6 linked regions of the Canis lupus familiaris genome follow. The protein of the gene in region 2 interacts with the protein of the main gene of each other region in a biochemical or structural test. Links are inferred from orthologs where the notes say so. Each region holds a gene or a part of one and is shown on either strand. Other genes may lie near its edges. The genes, in order: RPA1, RAD51, EVL, RAD52, FBH1 and RAD54B.

Region 1 (3,791 bases), on a different chromosome or scaffold from region 2:
CATGGGGCTCAAACCTACAATCTCGAGATCAAGAGTTGCATGCTTGGGATGCCTAGGTGGCTCAACAGTTTAGCATCTGCCTTCAGCTCCGCATAATCTCCAGATCTGGGAATCAAGTCCTGCATCGGGCTCCCTACAAGGGGCCTGCTTCTTCCTCTGCCTGTGTCTCTGCATCTATCTCTGTGTCTCTCATGAATAAATAAAATATATATTTTTAAAAAGAAAAAGTGTTGCATGATCTGACTGAGCCAGCCAGGTGCCCCTTCAAAAGTCTTAATGGAGGGGGGCACCTTGGTGGCTTAGTGGTTGAGCATCTGCCTTTGGCTCAGGTTATGATCCCGGAGTCCGCTGGAGTCCGGGGGATCAAATCCCGCATCAGGCTCCCCACAGGGAGCCTCTTCTCCTCTGCCTATGTCTCTGCCTGTCTCTCAGAATAAATAAAAATCTTTTTATTTTTTTTAAATGTTTTATTTATTATTTAATTTTTATTTATTTGTGATAGTCACACAGAGAGAGAGAGAGGCAGAGACACAGGCAGAGGGAAAAGCAGGCTCCATGCACCGGGAACCCGACGTGGGATTCGATCCCAGGTCCCCAGGATCGCGCCCTGGGCCAAAGGCAGGCGCCAAACTGCTGCGCCACCCAGGGATCCCAATAAAAATCTTTTTAAAAAAGAATCTTAGTGGATATTTTCAAATGGTCTGGTAGCTTCCATGCCTAAAGTTCTACATTTGTTTTTGCAGAACGAGCAAGCATTTGAGGAAGTTTTCCAGAATGCCAACTTCCGATCTTTCACATTCAGGATCAGGGTGAAACTAGAGACCTACAACGTAAGTGGGGTCTGCTGGGTTGCAGAAGGGTTAGCAGTGGGAAGCTACTATTTGTCACTCACAGCAACAGTACAGTGTTAGCTGTCACTTAATTGCTTACAGTGTGCTTACCGCCCTGCATTTATTACTCATTGAATCTTCCCAGCACTGAGGAAACGAACCTAGAGAGGTCAAGTATTTTGTTTAGTGTCAAGCATCTAGAGGGAAATGCTGCATGGTTCTTCGGTTACAACCTGGGGGTTTTGTTGGTGTAGTGACAAAGAATGGTCAGATGTTTGGTGGACTCCTGTGAGGTTTAGGCCCTAGGGTTCATATACAAAACAAAGACCGAACAAAGTTAAAATAACCTTAAAACTTATTCAAGTTGCCTATAGCATCATATAATTGTATAGTCCTACAGTAACTGCATTTATTGAGCACTTACTGTCTGCCAGTTACTATTCTATGCCCTTTACATCTACTATCTCACTTGATCCTGGCAGTAACCCATATGGAGGAATGACTGTTAGCCCCATTTTACCACTGAAAACATGGAGGCATGTAGAGAATAAGTACTTTGCATATGCCAGCAAATGGCAGAACTAAGATTCCAGCCCCCAGCTTCAGAGATTTGCTCTTTTCCATTCTTAGAAATGGCACTTTGTCGTAATTACTGAGCACATATACATGACAGTGCGTGAACCCCTGAATTAGACTGTGCACTTTTTCTGGGCATCACCTCATCCTGCCTCTAAAATAAAGGCACTGTTCAGTCCTGATGAATGAGCAAAGAGGGAGAGTTCTGAAAACCTCTCTGCTTGTTTTAGGGTCTCCTCATTCTGTTTTATCATTACACTTTAACCTTAGTTCCTGCCAGGTTTGTTTGTTTCTGTAGACCTTGAATGAGGTAGTGTCAAGTCAAGTGTCTGTGCTAGAGTGTCATGTTGAGGTGGGAGCAGGGGACAGCTCGAAAGGTCATGCAGTCCTCTCATGATGTGGACAGGGAAGGTGAGGTGCAGAGGTGGTCTCCCACAGAGCTGGGATGGCACCCAGACCAAGTCTTCCTCCTCTACTTTTGTTTTCAGAATTAGCTGTGTGGCTTTTAGGCAAGTCACTTATCTTCTCTGGGCTCCTATTTCCCCCCTCTGCAAAGAAAATAAACCTGCTAAGGCCCATCCCATTTGGATTTGAGGTTTCTGAGACCTGGGAGCATGAGGGAAGGACAAAAAGGGGACTCTGCTGAATGAAGAGAGGCTTCTGTCCTCTCTCCCAGCTCCAGAAGTTCTGAACTTGGCTTTCACTCATGATTTTTTTCTGTATTGGAATTACTAAACACTAAATCCAGCATGTCTTTGTGTTTTCTCTCGCTGAGATCATTGAAACCTCTAAAGCAAAGGGGGTTAGCACCACTGCTCCATGCCACAGGCTTTCCTCCATTCACAAACTGCTTTTCTCTTCTCAAAGGATGAGTCTCGAATTAAGGCCACTGTGATGGACGTGAAGCCCGTGGACTACAGAGAATATGGTAGAAGGCTGATCATGAACATCAGGAGAAACGCACTAATGTGAGAAGACCAGAGCTGATGGGGCAGAAGTTTGAAAAAACAGAGCTGAAATGAAACCGATTCTTTCCCACTCCTGTGGGACATTTCCACGTTAGCTACACAGTGGAGCAGAGGGCCTCTCCACAGGGGACAAAGCGCTTTCCTCCCATCAGTGCAGCTTGGAGCCCACTGGTACCTGTTGACACAGGCAAAGAGAAATGTGCTCAGGCGACTGTCGGGTAAACTGTCAGACCTGGCAGGTCAGCTGGTGGATAGTGTAGTGCCATTCTCTCCCTCTGTCTTCAGGCTTTTGTCAGTTTTACTAAGATTTCATTATCTTCAATCAGAAATTATGTCACAAGTAATTGACCCTAACTTTGCAGACGGTGAAATAAATTATGTAACTAGCTTCTCCAGTGATGACACCCTTGAGACCTGGGTTCCTTCTCAGGAGGGAGAGCCCAAAATTGGTCGTGCAGAACCTGTACTTCAGTAAGTGTGTCTTTCTAGAATTCAAAGTTTCGCTCTTTCTAGAGGTGCCACATAGTTGTAAATACTTGGATGGCAATAGGGTAGAATTATTAATCAAAAAACTTATCTTTTATATCTGAAGAATATCCCTCCTTCAGGGTTTAATAGACTAAGTCAGATGGGTCTGATATTAATCAAAATTGTCTCGTCTGAGGAAGGCTGATAAGCATTGACTTGCTGTCCCACAGGGACATCCGGGCAACTACAAAGCATTGTTTTAGTTTTCGTTTCAATTAATGTTGCATTTTGGCTGGTGAATGCACATTTTTTTCTACCTGTACATATTTCTTGCATTTATATGTTTCATTTCTTGATTGAAGCTATGTTAAATAGAAGGGATTTTGAAGGAAGGAGCCCTTTGTTTCCTCTGCTTTGTTTAAATAAACAGAATGTTCTCTGTGTGTGAATCCTACTTTCTACTTTCTTTGAATGCAAAGGGTTCTTGTAACTGGGAAGCAATTAATTAGCCTTCATAATAAATGTTCACTTGGGGGAGATGTTAACTCATTACAGACTCAAAGATTAGTCCAAGTCATAGAGATCATTCATCCTAATGTTTGCAACCCTCAAATGCATCTTTAAAAGAACAAAAACACTAAAAACAAAAAGCCATTGTGACCAAGAATGCTGATGATCTGGCACTTTGGGATTTTATTGATGTTTACACAGCAGTCTAACACCAACCAGGCTTTGAAATGTGTACAGACAGTGAGCTAGTAAGAAAACAGTAATTATGCTACTAGGCTTTTAAGTCAGCAAGAGCATGCTTGCCCTGTGTGTTCCTAATCATATTAATTATCTTTCTGGTTGCTGCGACCCACCACTTGGCATTTGCTGCACATCTCTCCCCAAGCATCCAGGCAATGTTGCAGTCAGCCTGCAGTGGGAGGACCTGGTTTTTAATCCA
Region 2 (4,004 bases):
TTTTTTTTAATTTTATTTATGATAAGCACACAGTGAGAGAGAGAGAGGGGCAGAGACATAGACAGAGGGAGAAGCAGGCTCCATACACCGGGAGCCCGATGTGGGATTCGATCCCAGGTCTCCAGGATCGCGCACCTGGGCCAAAGGCAGGCGCCAAACCGCTGCGCCACCCAGGGATCCCCTCAAAAACTTTCAATGAGGAGTGCCTCAGTGGCTCAGCGTGGAGCCCCTGCCTTTGGCTCCGTTCATGATCTGAGGGTCTGGGATGAGTCCCACATTGGGCTCCCCAGGGAGCCTGCTTCTTCCTCTGCTTCTCCCTCTGCCTCTATGGGTGTCTCTCATGAATAAACAAAATCTTTAAAAAAAAATAAGATTTTTAATGATTTCCTCATTACTTAAAGAATAAAGACTGAAGCTCCACACATGGCCTTAAGCTTCTTCATAACCTGAATGAAATGTTAATTTTCCAGTATCAGCGTCTCTAGGACACTTTTCCTCCTTCATCAGACAATTCTATCGCTTGACCACGTTATTTCCATACCCATAGTGCTCTAAGTCTCCCATCTCCGTTTCTTTGCCCAGGAAACCCCATTAACGCTTTAAAACCGGAGTCACACACAGGTCCAACTTCCCAGTAAACAAGGTTTACTTTCTCAAAATCAGTGTCTCCTGCCCTCGGGAGTCTTCCAAATCTCAAGTACCAAGACTTGACTAATATTTCAGCCATTTTTCTCCCCTTCGTTAGCTGTTTCCAGTTCCATCTCAGCTCTACCACCTCCAGGGGCCTGGAAGGAAAACCCCAGGCTCCGGGAATTTGACGAAATCGGAAGCTCAGACTAAACGTCCAGGTTTAGAAACTAAAGAGGCAAATCGAGAGCAGCTCTCTAGAGCCAGACCTTCCCCCAGCAGGGGTGAGGCGCTAAAGTGGTGTGCGACCCTGTGCCTGCTGGGAGATGGAGTCTCCGACCCACCCCACTACCTCTTGGGAGTTGTAGTCCTTGGTCTGGTAAAAGAGAAGGAAGCGGCGACTCCCAAATTGTGAATTAGTTTTTAGGGGTAAAGGGAAGAGGCAAATGCCTCACATGAGGCAAGACCAAGTTCCTTGGACCCAACTAGGGTTCGCGAGCAGCCGCAGAGCGGGCTAGACCTCCGGGCCGAGGGGGCGGGGAGACGTTACGTTGACGCTGGCGTGACCCAGCCGGAGAATTTGGCGGGATCTCCAAACACTCCCCGGAGGGAGCTCTGCGGTTTGAGACCCAGCCTGAGGAGACTGACGCGCCCTTAGGGGCGTCGTTGGGAGCTGAAGCTCGCTTGGGTTGTGTGCGGAAGGCGGCAAAAAGGGAGTAGAAAATTTGGCAGCAAGGGAGGGAGTCCAGAGCCCGTCCAGAGTCGTGCGCGGACCGGACCCGCGGACAGAAGTCGGAGCGCGCAGCCCGGCAGTGAGGAGCGCTGTGGACCGAGGTGAGCGTGTGAGGCGTAGACTCGGCCCCTCCTGCCTCCCGGTGCGTCCCCGCAGTAGCCGAACCGGGCGGAGCCCGTGCCGCCGGCAGCCGGCTTATGGGCCCCTCTGCGCCAAGTGAGAAACCGGAGTTGGCGGGGCGGAGCAGGGTCATGCCCGGGCCCAACCCACCGTCGGGGCTCGTTGTGGCAAAAACTGAAGTGGTCCCCAGGCTCCAGAGCTAGAAGGAACCTCAGAGGCCTTCATTTTCAACACCCGGTTTGGGGGTGGGGGGGTGGGGGCGGCGGGAAAGCCGAGATCCAGAGAGGTGTTGTGATTTAACGTCACAGCTGTTTCTGTCGGGGCCAGGGTTTCCGGATTTCTGGTTAATCCTCTTTCCATTACACCCTGCTTTGCTTACGGAGTACCAGCTTCCAATTTCCTAAAAGGCGTTTTCATTAGCTAATTCAGGCCGTTCGTGTGATGATGCCTGGGGAATGATCTGTAGTGAAGTGGTTTCTTTTGACTGCTAAAGTGAAGTGTAATATGCGTATGGAAGAATATACAAATCAGAAGTGTATAGTATACGCCTCTGATTTCAAAAAGAATATACCTGTGCAGTCATTACTCAGGTCAATAAATAGAACGTTGTCAGCACCCCAACATCCCCTGTTCTCTCCAAAGGTAACCTCTGTATTGACTTCTGACACCAAAGACTAAATTTGCCTGTGTTTGAGTTTTGTGTAACTGATATTATCTATCTTTAAAAGGTTTTGTTTATTCATTTATTTATGAGAGACGCAGAGGGAGAAGCAGGCTCTTCAGGGAGCCTGCTGCGAGACTCGATCCCAGAAGCTCGGGATCATGACCTGAGCGACAGCAGATGCTCAACCGCTGAGCCACCCAGTTTCCCCATATTATGTATATTTTTGTGTTTGGTTTTGCTCAACATTCTGTCTGTAGATTCGTACTTATTTTTGCATATAGTAATAGTTCTTTTTAGTTTCTGTATTGAATTCCTTATTCATTCTGCCCATGCCCATGGTGGACATTTGGGTTGTTTCTAGTTTCTGAGTTTTTAAATGAGAAAATCTGCAGAGAACATTCCTGCGTATGTTTTGGTACAAACGTGTATGGTTTTCAGTTGGTTAGTAATACAGCGTTGAAATTCCTGGGTCATAGCATTTGTCTATATTCAACTTCCACATTTAATGCCAGTTTTCTTTTTTTAAAGATTTTATTTATTTATTCATGAAAGAGAGTGAAGGGCAGAGACACAGGCAGAGGGAGAAGCAGGCTCCATGCAGGAAGCCCGGTGTGGCATTGGATCCCGACACTCCGCATCCATGCCCTGGGCCAAAGACAGGTGCTAAACCGCTGAGCCACCCAGGCATCCCTACTGCCAGTTTTCTGCTACCAATTTACATTTACACCAGCAGTGTATGAGTGTTTAGTTTTTTCACATGCTTGCCAACACTTGATATTGTCAATCTTTTAAAATTTTATCTGTTTTGGTGGCATATAGTAATACTTCGTGGTTTTAATTTTGATTTTCCTGATAATTAGTCAGGTTGAGCATTGGTTCATCGTTTTTGGCCCATTTGGACATCTTCTATCCTGAAGTACTTGTTCCAATCTCTTGTCTGTTTTTCTATTGAGTTGCCTTTCTCCCTTCCCTTCCCTCTTTCCTTCCCTCTTTCCTTCCCTCTCTCCTTCCCTCTCTCCTTTCCTCTCCTTTCCTTTCCTTTTTTTAAGATTTTATTTATTCATTCATGAGAGAGAGGGAGAGGGAGAAGCAGAAGCAGGCTCCATGCAGGGAGTCCGATGTGGGACTCGATCCTGGGACTGCGGGATCACACCCTGAGCCAAAGGCAGATGCTCAACCGCTGAGCCATCCAAGTGTCCCTATTGGGTTGCCTTTCTTGCTGATTTGAAGTTCTTTATATATTTTAATTATCAGCCCTTAGTTGTATATATGGTAAATATTTTGTCTCCCACCTGTAGTTTGACTTCATTTTCTTAATAGTGTCTTTTGATGGATAGAAGTTTTAAGTTTAAATGTCCGATTTTTCAGTCTTTTTTTTCGTTGTTGCTTTAAGAAAGTTTTATCCCAAAGTCATGAAAACATTCACCTATATTCCAAAAGCTTTGTTTTACCTCTTATATTTAGATCTGTAATCGAATTGGAAACAGATGTTTCTTCTGTATGTGCAGTGTTTTATTTTGTTTTTGTTCTTTTTCTTATTCTGTAAGGCTCTCCCATCAACCTAGCACTTTTTATTGAAAAAAAAAATCCTTTTTCCATTCTCTGTAATTCCATCTTCTTCATAAATTATGAAGGGAGGTGTTTAAATTTTTTTTTTTTTTTAAGATTTTATTTATTCTGGGCAGCCCTGGTGGCTCAGCGGTTTAGTGCCACCTTCAGCCCAGGGCTTGATCCTGTAGACCCTGGATCGAGTCCCACGTCGGGCTGCTTGCATGGAGCCTGCTTCTCCCTCTGCCTGTGTCTCTGCTTCTCTCTCTCTCTCATTCTCTCATTAAAAAAAAAAAAAAAATCTTAAAAAAA
Region 3 (3,500 bases), on a different chromosome or scaffold from region 2:
ACAAGGTCTTAGAGCAGGAGGGGCCCCCTCCAGGAAGATGACTCAACCCAACCGCCTCACTGTACAGATGAGCAGTGAGGGCCAGTGAGGTGGCATTAGCTGGTCTCCCTGACACCCGAAAGCCCTGAGCCTCCACACTGATCCAGAGTAGATGCTGACGTGGCCACCTGTGCCGACAGCCCAAGGGCATCAGGCTGGCCAGACCATAACCCCCCACCCAGCCCTCTCATTTCCCACACGGAGACAAGGAGGGCATTGCATCTGGGGTTCAGGTTCCTGGCCTCAGGCCAGGGCTCTGAGGAGGATTACGGACCTGCCACACTCCTGTCTCCCTGTGAAACGCCACCTGTGGCACGTATAACAGGGATCACCCGTGAGTCTTGCTCATTGTGGTGCTCAAAGAAAGTCTACCAGGCGATGCTTCCAAAGTTATGCGTTAGAGGAAAAACAGTCCCAGCCCTGCTCAGAAGCCCCGTGTGAGCCCCAGAATGTGAGCCCCAGGGTACAGGGATGGAGTTAGGACAGTTCCTGGAGGCTGCAGGGTGGGAAGAAGCCACTGTGCTTGGTCAGTCGTTCAACAAACATTTGTTCAGCATCTGCTCCACACAGGGCCTGTGCTCCCGAACAAGGTAGGAGAGGCAGAGGGGAACCCCGCTAGCCCCCCTCAGCAGAGGGAGGCTCTGGCCAGTTGTTGCACCAGCCTCTGGTCCTGCCACTCTGCTGGTGTGGCTGCCTGCCTGCCCCGTGAGACTGCCCCTGTGTCCTCTTCTCCTGAGAGCTGCCACCATGGATTCTTGGTGAATGACTCCATGAACACTGCACACCCCAGTGAATGGTTCTGTTTCCCAGGTTAGGAGGTGACATGATTTGCCCAAGGCCCTATGCCTGTGGGCCCAGCATCTGCCCTGGAGTGTGGCTTTGGGGACACTCTCCTCACACCCATTGGGTGGCTTCCCTGCTTCCTCTAGGGATTTTCTCCTGCCTCTACGCTCATCCTGCAAAGTCTAGGAATTCAATTCAGTCCAAAAATCTCTTGAAGTAAAATGAAACATTAATTTAACACCACTTAAAAGAGAAAATGGAAAAAGAAAGTAGCTTTGAGGGCCGGGGCAGGAAGGGGCCGGCTGCAGGGTGCAGGGGAGACATGGTGGGCACGTCTGGGCAGCAGGTGTATACGTGGCGCTCAGGCTGACCTGAGAGCATCCCGGCTAGGGCTCCCTCTGTACCCCCCCAGCCCTTTGCTGGAGTCATGACTCGACTCTGGGAGTCATGATTGAGAGGCTCCCCCATCAAGATGAAACCCAGCTGTGGTGAGAGGACTCAGAACCAGGCCACAAGTCAAGGTCAACCAGGTCGAGGGAATGGGAGCTGTGTCCTGAGTGGGGAGACTGGGAACGAGGGGCCAGGTTTCAGCTCCACCTGCAGCAGCCCTTCCTGATGGGGTAGCCCTTCACCCTCAGCACTGGGGGGCCTCCTGCCTGGGATTGTGGGGGGAACGTGGCCACCGAGAGGTCTCCCAGCTCTGAGGCTCCCTGTCCACGGTATGAATTGACAGAGACTGGCCGGAAGCCCTGGGAGCGGAGCAACTCGGTGGAGAAGCCTGTGTCCTCGCTGCTGTCCAGGTGAGCTGCCCCACGAGGCGGCACTGCGAGTCCGGCGGGGCCACGGCGGGCGGCGGGCCAATTCACATGTCTGTTTCATTCCGTGCCGTAGAACCCCGTCTGTGGCCAAGAGCCCCGAAGCTAAGAGCCCCCTTCAGGCGCAGCCTCACTCTAGGTACCGAACATCCCCGTCTCGGGGGCCTCCTCTGTCCCCTGCCCGTGACTAACACTCCCAAACCCGCCCCCTGTCCTGTCACCTAACAGTTTGCTCTGGGAAAGGGTGGGCCTGTTCCCTCAGACCTGGGGAAGGCAGGGCTGGAGGGACGCAGATGTGAGGGGCTGTGCACGCCTACTCTGGCTGTCCCCTCCCAGAGGGAGAGACTGGGGCCTGGGGAGGGCAGTGAGGCGAGGCTGACATCGGACTCCCATGACAGTGCTCCGGGCTCACTGTGACATCGGGCAAGCCGGTGGCCCCTCCCGGCCTCCCCTCCTCGATCCCGTAAAGAGGTCTGTGAGCCCTGCGTCTTGTGACAGCGATTAGTGGGCAGCAGCTGGACACAGTCCCACAGCTCAACTGATCCCGGGACCGGCCGGCACCCTTCCTCCTTCCCCTCCCTCCTCTGCCCACAGCACACAGCCGTCTTCCCCCAGGGAGACCATATTTCCCAGACCAAAAGCTGGTGTGCATAGCAGGATGGAATGTTCAAAGCTGAGGTGTCCCCAAAAGTGAGAGGCCCCATAGTCACCGGAGCCGAGCGCAGCCCAAAGCTGCAGGTCTCTGGAACCCGTACTAGGAAGGGTCGCCACTGCCCGGCACAGACTGCAGGGGAGCCGCTCTCAGAGCAGTAGCATCGGAGCCGGCCGTGCAGAGTGGAGCGAGCCTGTCGGGGAGGGCCCGGGCCCGGCTCCGGCCGGAGCGCTGAGGACAGACACGGCCCTCAGGAGTGAGGTCTCGGGTCAGCCAGGTTCTGAGCTGGGTCCTGCAGGTCCCTGCTGCAAGGAGCCCATTTTCTGTTGGGAAGGCCCATGCACGAGGCGGCCGTGTGTTTGAGAGGTGCTGTGTGGAACACAGAGGGTCGCATGGCAGACCATGCTGGGGACCGAGGTGCTCTAGCACAGGGGCTGGGACAGGCCTCTCAGAGGTGGCATTTGAGTTGACCTGCATGAGGAGGAGCCTGCCCTACAAAGAGCGTGGGGACAGTCTTCCGAGCTGGAGATGGTAAGTGCTGAGGCCCTGTGACCAACCCGGCAGTTCACAGAACAGGAAGCTGGCCAGCGTGGCTAGCAGGTGGCAGCAGGTGGGGAGGGGCCGGCAGGGGTCACGTGGCTGGAGGGCTGGGCTGCATTCTGTATGTGCTCACCGTGGTGGACCAGCACTCTCTCTGGCTGTGAGGGGGCCGGAGCCAAAGGAGGGGCCCCCGGGAGGAGGGAGGAGGTGAGGTGGCCAGGGGTGCGCTTGTGGCCCCCCAGCACTTCCTGCAGGTGGAGCATGGTGGGCTGCCAAGTGTTCCCACTTGGGATGGGGCTCTCCACCTCTGAGACCAGTGTGCTCTCCAGTTCCACGGAGGGCTCCGAAGGGGGCAGGCGGCCACAGTCTGCCTCGGGTGACCCCGGGGGAGCTGTCAGGTGTGCATGTGGGAGAACCAGAGCCCCGACAGGTGAAACAGTTTGTCCAGGTGGCCCCAGAAATGGCTGCTGGAACAGGCCCCGACCCCACAGACGGACATGTGGGCCGGGGGTCTCAGGCTGCACCTCCTTCCCCACCAGGATCCAAAGCTATTTAGTGTCCTTCAGAACCACACTGGCCTCTCTTCAGTTCAGCCAGGAGAGGAGCAGGAGCATGTTCTTCTTGGATTTCTTTTTTTTTTTTTTCTTAAGGTTTAATTTATTGAGAGAGAG
Region 4 (3,500 bases), on a different chromosome or scaffold from region 2:
GGGCAACCATTGACTTCTGGAGCTCACCTCTAGTTTCTGAGGTCCACAAGGTCTAGGGTAGGACTTGAGGATTTGCATTTCTGTTTTTTTTTTTTTTTTAAGATTTTATTTATTTATTCATAAGAGACAGGCAGAGAGAGGAGCAATCGTCATGCAAGGAGCCTAATGTGGGACTTGATCCTGGGACTCTGGGATCACACCCTGAGGCAAAGGCAGACACTCAACCACTGAGCCACCCAGGGGTCCTGAGGATTTGCATTTCTAATAAGCTCCCAGGTGATGCTGATGCTGCAAGAGACCTCACTGGTCTAATGCTTTATTCCTGAATGTTAGGGTCACCGTATTGCCTTCTCTTGCTTTTTATTTTTTTTAAAGATTTTATTTATTTATTTGAGAGAGAGACAGCATAAGGGGGAAAGGGAGAAGCAGAGGGAGAGGGAGAAGCAGACTCCTTGCTAAAGGGGAGCCTCTCCAGGGGCTGATGTGGGACTTGATCCCAGGACCTTAGGATCATGACCTGAAGGCAGATGCTAAACCAACTAAGCCACCCAGGTGCCCCTTCTCTTGCTCTTTAATTTTCCTGTCTATGAGTCTTCTACCAGCTAGCTTGTTAGGTCCTGGAAAGCAGATCAGTTATTGTGGCTTTTAGTTTTTTTGTTGTTTATGTATATTTTATTTATTTGAGAGAGAGAGCATGAGTGAGCATGAATTGGGGGGAGGGGTAGAAGGAGAGGGAGAAGCAGACTCTGTATTGAGCAGGGAGCCAGCCAGGGGACTCTATCCTAGCATCCTGAGATCATGACCTGAGCTAAAGACAGACACTTCACTGACTGAGCCACCCAGGTGCCCCTGGCTTATACTTCTTTTATGACCTCACTGAGGCCAAGGTCATGTTGCTCATATGATAGGGAGTAATCAGTTGGTTGGTTACTCTCCCTTGGTGTGTTTTGTAATTTTGACTTTTCCAATTATAAACATTACAGTTATACATTCTGATTATAAAAATCACCTTTACAATTGCCCTTACAATACAATTGCCCTAGCAAAATTTTTATTGTGTATTTAAGAAGGCTATATACCCAGCATGAGGCTTGAACTCATGACCCTGAGATCAGGCTTCCCATGCTCTACTGACTCAGCCAGCCAGGTGCCCCAACTCTAGAAAAATTTTAACAAAGATGGAAGTGGATTCTAAAGGATCTTCAGTGATTGCTAAGCACTGAGGAACTTAGTCTGATTGGGGCAGTGCTTATAAATAAAGCGTTAAGTAAATAAAAAACTTGTAGAATACTGCATATGGATGCTTTAATCTGATTTTAAGTGGAGGTTCTTGTTTTTTACCTTTACCATTCTTTGAGATCTTTTTTAATCTTCTGTTTTTATTAGAGGTTACTCAAAATCAACATGTTTGGGGCTGAGGAAGCAGTTCTTGGAGGCCGTGGCAGCCATCCTTCTGCTGGTGGCAACTCTGTATTATGCTTTGGACAGGTAACTGTGTTTATCATACCTGGAAAGAATGAGGTTAAGTGAAAAGGTAGGAGAATGTAATTTGTAGAGCATTGTCATAGATGTAGAAGCTATTTATTGTCAGTGGTTTTCCTGTTAGGTGCAGTATTTTGTGAGTCTGATGAACTCTCAGGCCATTTTGGAACTTTGACATCAAAAGACAAATAGTACTGGAGATTACATTTAGATTTATATTTTGTTTATTTTTTTGGCTAGATTACATATTCATATGGTATAACACTCAAAATGAAACGTAGACTGTGAATGAAAAATCTCATTTATTTCCCCATCACTCCTGTTCACATTTCACCCAGTTCGTTTTATTGGAGGCATCCAAAGATTCCCATGTCATATTCTTTGTGGAGATAGTCTGTGCTTATCAAAGAGATTCTTGCTTTGTCCACTCAAATTCTGTCTTTACCAGAGATCTGTTGATGTAGATTTATTTCATTTAAATAGGGAAGGAAAAAATTACTAAGGGGACAAAAATCAAAACTAGTAGCAGTATATTTAGCTACATATACAGGGTGGGAAATTGTTGAAGCAGAGAAGAGGTATACAACTTTGGAGAGGACGGTGGGTCTCCCCTACTCCCTCGCAGGCATAAATGTCACACACAGACTCTGAAGCAGGAAGTTTCAGTTTACCAGTTGTGGCTTGAGGAAGTTTTGTAAGGATGGTAGTGACACCTAAGGCGATGCCTGTCTACATGTGGCCCTGTGACCCCTGGGAGTCCCCAAGACCTTTTCTGAGTCCATGAGGTCAAGAAGAGTTCCATAATAATACTAAAGTACTTCTTGCCTTTTCCTTTTCCTTTTCACACGAGTGAAGAATGGGACTTGCCAGGCCATGCGCAGCCTGTTGTGATACTGCTAGGATGGCTGATGGAAGAAGGTGTGCCTTAAAGGTTTCTCAGTTTCAATTCCTAACATTGGTAGTTATAACCCACATAAACAAAAGCTCTTAGGGTCCTCAATACTTTTTGAGAGTGTAAAAGGGTCTGGAGACCAAAAAATTGGAGATTTGCTGATGTAGGAATGGGAGAAATGTCAATTTAATTTTTCCTTTCTGAATTGCAGTATCAGTACACAGCAGAAGAGTACCAGGCCATCCAGAATGCTCTGAGGCAGAGGCTGGGCCCAGAATACATCAGTAGCCGCATGTCTGGAGGAGGCCAGAGGGTAGGAGAATTGATATGCTTGAAAAGTGGGTGCTCCTAATAGCTGGCTACTCAGATGATCTCAACAGCTCCCTCTCTGGGTCCTCATGGATTCAGGTCTCTTGCTCACTGTTGCTAGATGTTCCCTCGTGTCTTTGGGAGAGGATGGGTTCCAGCCAGCATTGTCATTTGAAGTGACCCAAGTCTTGTCTTGAGACTTCCATGCCTGCCTTCTTGGGATTTTTATACCATCTTTTAAAAATGTTTCTTTTGCCTTTTGCTTCTAAATTTAACTTCTGTGTATATTTTTGGTCTTCTGTAATGTATATCAACCTGAGACTTGTACTTTTTTGGAAACTGCTAAGTGAGTGGATATCTTTCCCCTCTGAGTCTAGTCCCTCCCCTGAGACAAACATTAGTTCTAACTGGTTCCTTCTGGAAGATCTTTGAAATAAGTTCACTGAGAATTTCCCTGGAATGTTAAAGGGCAGTTTTGCCAAAAAAACAAAACAAAACAAAAAAACCCAAAAAACAAAACAAAAACAAAAAACTGGTAAGGAATAAATTAAGTGAATTTTGATTCTTATTTAAATATGGCAAGGAATTTTAACAAGCTTTTTTTTTTTTTCTTCCCCTTAACTTTCTTGTTCCAGGTATGTTACATCGAGGGTCACAGGGTAATTAATTTGGCCAATGAAATGTTTGGTTATAATGGCTGGGCACACTCTATCACACAGCAGAATGTGGGTAAGTATATTTCCTGGCAATGGTGACTTCTTCATTTCCCTTACTTTTATACTAATTTCTGATGAGAGTATTTTGTGGGTGAGGATGT
Region 5 (3,500 bases), on a different chromosome or scaffold from region 2:
GTTTACAGTCCCTCACACGCACGTCTTCTATCTCACACAGGTAAGAGCTCTCTCTGCTTCCGAGTCCCCAGAACTGTAGAAGCAAGCTTTGTGGTCTCCCCCGCACCCTCGTTTTTCTGTGGTTAGTGGGGGCCAGGCGCCGTGCAAGGCTGTCTAGTCGGCACACAGCATGTAGTGGATCCTCGCTTCTAAGCAGTGGTGCCCTGTGGTTGTCAGGGGGTCTGCAAAGTCAGAACTGTTTTTACAACGGCATGTGCCATTGTCACTGTGTTCACATTTGCACCGCTGATGCCTTCCCGTGAATCAAGGTGGTGGCACCAAACGGTGCCGGCTGTCACAGTGTTCTTCTTGTAGCGCACTCAGGGTACAACGAACAAAAGAGGTTCAACTCCAGAACATTCCGATGTTCCAGCAGACATGATGAACTGCTAGCCCTTGGGTGTGTCTCTAGTATTCTGTGGGATAAGGGGCCGACGGAAGTGTGTTGGCTGTCTGACGAAGAGCACTTTTGTGATTGAGTTGTGAGCTCAACTGGCTGCTTTTGTGTGTATTTAATGTTGGTACTCGAGAGAACAGCTGACAGACTTGGGTACTTGGCATTTTCTCAAAAATGAAGGAAGTGAGCTGTGACTTCCAGGAAAACAACTGACAAATGTTTGTTGCCAAAGATAAAATTCTTGCTTTCAAGTGAAATAGAAATTTGGAAAACTCGTGTATGCGTGACACCTCGTGGCATCCCTGGTTGTCTGAGAAAGCCGTAACGACCCTCCCCTTGCCCATACCTTTCCGCATGAGGCTGCTGGGGTAGCCCCGTAAACTATTTAGAATTCTTCTACAAAGAAGATTTTTGTCTTCTCTCCCACTTACTTCTTTATTCGATCATTTATTTATATCAGTGTGGACTCGTGGATATTTCATTTTATTTTTTGGGTCATGGCTCCCTCAGAATGGTTCTGTAGCAACAAAGTGCTATTTGTTGAAAGGCTCATGTTTTCTTTAGTATTGTCAATGTTCACCAGAGCGCGTAGCAGTTTATTACTTTAAGTCCTTAGTACATGGCAAAGGGCTGTAAGTACCATGAGATTGGAGACGAGGGTGTCTTTCCAGCTGCAGTGATCAAGGACGTGGGTGTGGGGCCACGTTTTGAAGGGTAGAGAACAACTGGCCATGTGCCAAGGCAGGGGGCATCCAGGGAAGGCTCAGAGAGTGACGATACTTGGGGCTGGCGTGTGGGGCAGTGGTTTTAAATTAACGGTGAGGGAGGCTCAGAGGCGAGATGAGAAACCCTCCTGCCCTCCCTCCATCTTTTGAATAATTGACACTCTCATTTGATTTGATTTGGAAGGAAGGGTAGATTTGCTTAAAAGCTAAGTTTTCCACTGGTCTTGGGGAATGAGAGGAGAAGAGGCTGTTCGGGCCGTGAGGGATGTTCAGAGTGCATGTACTGCCGTTTTCCTCACGTGCTGCTCTTCCTTTTTTGTAGCAAGGGTGTGGCCTGATGAAAGTATGTGGGCAAGAGTCATCTGGCAAGAGGGCGGGAGAGACCGAGTGGGTGAGGCATGGAGTTTGGGCTGCTGAGCTGAGATGGTAGCAGTGGTGAGAAAAAGAGCATAGACCCTCTGGTGGGAGGATCGCCCAGATCTGGATGTGGGGGTAAAGGGTAAAAGAAGAGAGGTAACTGGAGGGTTTCAGGGTGAAAGCTGCAATTTCTGAAAGCTTAGAACTCAAGTCAGCGATGGTCTGATTGGCAAGATTCTTCGATTCCTTGTGAGCGGGTTTACAGTGGGGAATTTGCAAATCCACTTTCCAGATAGGGTGAGTCAGGAATCAACAAGCAGGGTCTTTGCGGGGACAGAAACAGGCGAACCTACTTCAGGGAGGGCTTGTTGACTCCTTTTGTTCCGTCATTTTCTCACAGAGTTTCAGATTTGGCGTGGAAATAGCGTACGTGGGAGCTACCATCTTGGATGTCTGCAAGAGAGTGAGGAAAAAGACTTTGGTTGGAGGAAACCACCAGAGTAAGGCCTTCAGTTACTCTTCATTTATTTGTTACAAAAGTTAGTTTTCCTCTTTACTTGGATTTGCCACAGAGTTTGTGCTCTCTCCCAACAGGTGGCATTAGAGGTGACGCCAAGGGGCAGGTGGCCCTGTTGTCCCGGACCAATGCCAATGTGTTTGATGAGGCTGTGCGGGTGACGGAAGGAGAAGTCCCCGCGAGGATACATCTGATTGGGGTAAGAGTAAATCTCTCCCGACTCCTCCCTGCACAGACACAAACCCAGCAGCCAATGAAAGCATTCAGCTTCATTAGGATTATTACACAAGCAAGCATTTAGGGTTTGGGGCACCATCTGCACCATGACTGAGGTCTTTCCCCCTAGCTGTTCCGATATGTTAGCATTCTTATGAGGAACCAGCAAGGACTGAGGATCCTTTTCTCTGTTCTTTAAAACACTGACACCCTTCTCATTTTTGGCTCTGCAAATGAGGCTGCCGGCCGGCTACCTGCGAGTGTTGTGGTGTGTGGTGTTCATTAGTATAAGGACAAGGGAGCTGCCAACACAGCTGGGAGGCGCTAGTGGGCTCCAGCGTAGAGGGTGTGGACACCTGGGTTCTAGATCTGATTCTGTCACTAACTTTGTGTGGCTTGTGGCAAGTCACCACTTCGGTGTGCCTCATTCTCTCCATCTCTGAGACAAGATTAATGCCTTTACCTGGTTCCCGGGGAAGTTAGGATTAAGTGACACATGTGTGACATTTCTGACTCTTCAAAGCAAAGTTACATGACTAAGAGATGTTCACTCTGTTTATGAAAAACAGTGTTTTTGAGGGCTTCCTGTGTGTGGGCACTCGGTATATACAGTCAGTGAGTCATAATCAAAAGATGTTCTGAATTTTCTCTTTTTTTTAATTGATAAAGATTATCCAGCCAAATTATGGAAGCTTTGGAAATTAAAAGGAAAAAAAAAACCTCACGCTCAATCTCAGTATTTCAGATAACAATTTTCCCTTTTGCTGTTCATGTCTGTGTCTTTATAGACACACATTTCTACATAATTGGAATTATAATGTACCTAAAAATGTGTTCTTTTTTTTACTCCACATGTAAGCATCTTTTCTTTCATGTTTCTACGTGAACGACTACAGTATTTCATCTAGTGGTTATAGCGTAGTTTAAGCATTTTTTGTTATTGTTAGAAAATAGCACTCTTGGAGTGTGGCCCACGTGGGGCATGGTAGACAGTAAGTGGTTGTGGTCCCTCTGTCACACCCACGTGTCGCCTGAAGCATGTGGCAGCACTCTCGATCACATCTGCTCTCCAACTACGATATGTGCTGGCTTATTTCAGTCTCTGTTTGATGTCAGCGGTTTTTATGTCTCTTCCCCAAATGATGACAGGTCCTTGGAGGGTGGTGCCTCAGTCACGGGTTTCTTCTGCGCGGGGGTCCTGGACAGTGCTTGGCATGTGCTTTTAGGTAGAAGGGGCTATGCTGTGATA
Region 6 (3,500 bases), on a different chromosome or scaffold from region 2:
AACACATTCAGGACATTTACATTCGCCTACAATTGGGCAAAATCATCTAACACCCTATTTTATAATAAAGTGTTGACTGTGTCATGTAATTTATTGAATAGTGAGAGTGAAAAACAGAATGGTTGTATGGGTACAGAGTGGTTGTGAGTGTATCAATTGCTTACCCTCATGATTTCATGGTAGACAGGGTAGACAGGCATTAATGCTAGCTAGACCTGACATTTGAATTTCTCAGTTCATAAAATACTAACAGGAGTATGATCAAATACTCTTTAATACTTACTAGTACCACTTGATTTTCTTGTGCATTTACTTTTGTTCAAATGACACTACTCCTTAAAGTCATCTCTAATAATGTGGTTTTTATTTTTATTTTATTTTATTTTTTTATTGTAGTTCACCCAGCCCCTAAAGAAATAACAGTGTCTAAGGGACAAGAAGAGGAAGAACCTGATAGCCTAGTTAAATATTTCAGTGTTGTTTGGTGTAAAGCTTCGAAGAAAAAACACAAAAAGTGGGAAGGTGATGCTGTTCTCATTGTAAAAGGAAAGTCATTTACATTAAAGGATTTGGAAGGCAAAGACATTGGAAGAGGTATTGTGATATTATGTAATGTTTATGATTTGGACTACTATTAGTATATATCTGAGGTTATGTAATTAAAATGTGGGATTTTATAAGGGTTAGATTAGGATGCTCTTTAATTGACTTGCATGTCAATTAAAATTATCTCATGATAATCTGACAGTCTATGTACACTAGCTCAGTTAAGGAAATCCCATCTCATGGATTCATTTTCTCCAAAATGAAATAGTTATCTGCAGTCATTTATATATATTTTTGAGATTAAGCAGTTTGTCTTACTGTACTTCTACTCCCCCCTCCCCCTTGCTAAATGATTAAAGTCAGAAAAATGTTGATATCAGGTGTGGAATATTATCTAATTTCAATGATACCCAACAAAATTTTGAAAAAAAAAAAAAGGGAAATGGCTAGGCATGATCCAGATTAATACATCTAAATTTGAGGTTATCGTTATTTCTATTTTAACATGTTACCAGGATGATTGTACTAATACAAGTTAGCTCACAAATTCAGAATGCTTAACACCAACCATGTTTTTTGGCATTGTCTCTTATTGTTCAATTTGAATATGGCCCATTACTATAAAATCTGTTCTATACATTCATTCATTTAATAATATCATACTTTATAGTTTTTAGTAACTGTTAAGTGCCAAGCATTACGCTAGGAGTAAACATTCAAAAAATGTATATAAATTATGGTTTAGTGGGGGATAGGGCAATGTAATTGATAATTAGGAAGCAATAAAATAATTGTTTCATTGAGAATTTTACTCCATGCAGTAGGAGATAGAAGGACCATTTAGATCTGCCTAGGAGGCTGGGGAAAGCTTCATAGGAATTATTGTTTAAGGTAGTGTTTGAAAAATAAATAGTTCTATAGGGTATGAGAAAGGGACATACATAGGAGGGAATAGTATATACAAAGGCACAAAAGTGGGAAAGAGTTAAAATTACTAGTTCAGTGTTTCAGGAGTGTAGTATGTGAAGGTCAGTGCCAGAGTGATGAGTTGAGGCTGAACTGAATGATCTGCAACTGAATTTTCTTTTAAAGATTTTATTTATTTATTCATGAGAGACAGAGAGAGGCAGAGACACAGGCAGAGGGAGAAGTGGGCTCCCTGCGGGGATCCCGATGGGGGACTTGACTAGATCCTGGGACCCTGGGGTTATGACCTGAGCTGAAGGCACACGCTCAACCACTGAGCCACCCAGATGCCCCTTAATTTTGTTATAAAAATATTGAGGGGCGCCTGGGTGGCTCAGTTGGTTAAGCCTCCAGCTTTTGGTTTTGGCTCAGGTCACAACCTTAGTGTGGGATTGAGCCCCGCATCAGGCGCACTGGGCAAGCCTGCTTTAAGATTCTCTGTCTCCCTCTGCCCCTTCCCACCTTCCTCCCTCTCTCTCTCTCTCTCTCTCTCTCTCTCTCTCTCTCTCTCTCCCTCTCTCTCTCTCTCGCTTTCTCTCAAAAAAAAAAAAAAAAGTTGCATGCTCTACCAACTGATCAAGCTAGCACTCCTAGCTATATTTTCAATAATTAAAAAAGGTCTTGCTTTCTCTAAAGCTTGGCTAATTTTCATAGCTTTATTATTTATTACTTCTGATTTTTCTGTGTTTTTTAAACAAAATGATAAATTATGTTTTCATCCTGGGTAATGGGTTATACAAGGCTATTTGCCTTCAAAGCACAGTTTTCATTCTGTGGGGTTATAGGAAGGTGACTGTCGTATCACTAAGTTATCTTAGAGTGTCAGTAAATTAAATTCACATTCTCTCTTCTCATTTTAAAGGCATGGCATATAAATTGAAAGAGCTTGAAAAGATTGAAGAGGGCCACAGAGTGATGATTGGTGGAAAAGAAGTAGAAATCATGGGTATAATTTCTCCGGATGATTTCAGCAGTGGCCGATGTTTTCAGCTTGGAATAGGAAGTCCTGCTATCTCAAGTTCTTCTCAAGCTGCCAAGAAGTGTTTCTCTAACCCCTTCAAAAGTGTTTGTAAACCAAGTTCAAAGGAAAATAGATTGGGTGGTTTCCAAGATTGTAAACCACGCCATGACCCACATGCACCAAGTAAGATGTAAAACATAATTTGAATATTCTGTTTTTACTGTCAAAACATATTTGGCCTGTGAATTTAAAGTTTAAGATTTGTTTAAAGTTTTCAGATGAAAGTATGTATTATTCTTCAGGCATACAACTGACATAAGGAATAATGTTGAAGTTGTATAATATAGTTGGGGAATCATTTCATAAATAAATGTATAATTCTAAGAATATAGTAATAATGTCACATTTGTATTAAAGGAAAAATATACCAATTAGAGATTGTATACACACAAACATACATGTATAAGATTTTGAATAATATCTGACATCTTAGCAAGCAGAAATATTAATTCATGAGTCAAGATTATGTTTATATTTCTCTTTTGACAACTGTATGTCTTGATCACATGCATTAGTGTATTAAAATGTTGAATGGTGATACTTTTTTTTTTTTAAAGATTTATTTATTTTCAGGTAAAGAATTTAAATTATACCCATGAGAATCCAATTTAATGAGTTAATTTTTTTTAAAGATTTATTTATTTTCAAGGTAAAGAATTTAAATTAAACCCATGAGAATTCAATTTAATGAGTTAATTTTCACATTAATGAATCTAATTTAAAAAATCACATTAAAAAATAACACCTCTCCTGTTTTTTTTTTTTTTTTTTTCGATTTGATTTGTTTGCCTGACAGGGATTTCTTCAATGCCTTTTTTTGCATTGAGGGCAGAGGTAAACTGTCATCAGAGATCTTATTTGGTGAGGAGGCAGACAAGTAAATTTGAATTATAAGGCAGTAGATATCAAAGTGGGTGGGGTATAGTGTAGGCTGCTTTCAGATTAGTAAAATAAAAAGTACATAGAG

What was found.
Region 1: the proteins of RAD51 (region 2) and RPA1 form a complex in vitro, tested with the Homo sapiens proteins (2 studies listed by BioGRID). The link is inferred for Canis lupus familiaris from reciprocal best matches to the Homo sapiens genes RAD51 and RPA1.
Region 3: the proteins of RAD51 (region 2) and EVL form a complex in vitro, tested with the Homo sapiens proteins (2 studies listed by BioGRID and IntAct). The link is inferred for Canis lupus familiaris from reciprocal best matches to the Homo sapiens genes RAD51 and EVL.
Region 4: the proteins of RAD51 (region 2) and RAD52 form a complex in vitro, tested with the Homo sapiens proteins (6 studies listed by BioGRID). The link is inferred for Canis lupus familiaris from reciprocal best matches to the Homo sapiens genes RAD51 and RAD52.
Region 5: the proteins of RAD51 (region 2) and FBH1 form a complex in vitro, tested with the Homo sapiens proteins (2 studies listed by BioGRID, with this or other methods). The link is inferred for Canis lupus familiaris from reciprocal best matches to the Homo sapiens genes RAD51 and FBH1.
Region 6: the proteins of RAD51 (region 2) and RAD54B form a complex in vitro, tested with the Homo sapiens proteins (2 studies listed by BioGRID). The link is inferred for Canis lupus familiaris from reciprocal best matches to the Homo sapiens genes RAD51 and RAD54B.

The regions. Positions count from the first base shown.
Region 1 is NC_049230.1:45,977,608-45,981,398, forward strand, and holds the end of RPA1 (replication protein A 70 kDa DNA-binding subunit), read left to right. Parts: intron 1-743; coding exon 744-830; intron 831-2,273; coding exon 2,274-2,378; 3' UTR 2,379-3,291; downstream 3,292-3,791. UniProt on the Homo sapiens protein: As part of the heterotrimeric replication protein A complex (RPA/RP-A), binds and stabilizes single-stranded DNA intermediates that form during DNA replication or upon DNA stress.
Region 2 is NC_049251.1:8,127,047-8,131,050, forward strand, and holds the start of RAD51 (DNA repair protein RAD51 homolog 1), read left to right. Parts: upstream 1-1,204; 5' UTR 1,205-1,461; intron 1,462-4,004.
Region 3 is NC_049229.1:68,864,021-68,867,520, forward strand, and holds part of EVL (ena/VASP-like protein), read left to right. Parts: intron 1-1,555; coding exon 1,556-1,622; intron 1,623-1,713; coding exon 1,714-1,776; intron 1,777-3,500. UniProt on the Homo sapiens protein: Ena/VASP proteins are actin-associated proteins involved in a range of processes dependent on cytoskeleton remodeling and cell polarity such as axon guidance and lamellipodial and filopodial dynamics in migrating cells.
Region 4 is NC_049248.1:3,104,268-3,107,767, forward strand, and holds part of RAD52 (DNA repair protein RAD52 homolog), read left to right. Parts: intron 1-1,386; 5' UTR 1,387-1,404; coding exon 1,405-1,488; intron 1,489-2,585; coding exon 2,586-2,687; intron 2,688-3,318; coding exon 3,319-3,412; intron 3,413-3,500. UniProt on the Homo sapiens protein: Involved in double-stranded break repair. Plays a central role in genetic recombination and DNA repair by promoting the annealing of complementary single-stranded DNA and by stimulation of the RAD51 recombinase.
Region 5 is NC_049223.1:29,097,280-29,100,779, reverse strand, and holds part of FBH1 (F-box DNA helicase 1), read left to right. Parts: coding exon 1-40; intron 41-1,918; coding exon 1,919-2,018; intron 2,019-2,112; coding exon 2,113-2,234; intron 2,235-3,500. UniProt on the Homo sapiens protein: 3'-5' DNA helicase and substrate-recognition component of the SCF(FBH1) E3 ubiquitin ligase complex that plays a key role in response to stalled/damaged replication forks.
Region 6 is NC_049250.1:39,795,963-39,799,462, reverse strand, and holds part of RAD54B (DNA repair and recombination protein RAD54B), read left to right. Parts: intron 1-396; coding exon 397-594; intron 595-2,374; coding exon 2,375-2,656; intron 2,657-3,500. UniProt on the Homo sapiens protein: Involved in DNA repair and mitotic recombination. May play an active role in recombination processes in concert with other members of the RAD52 epistasis group.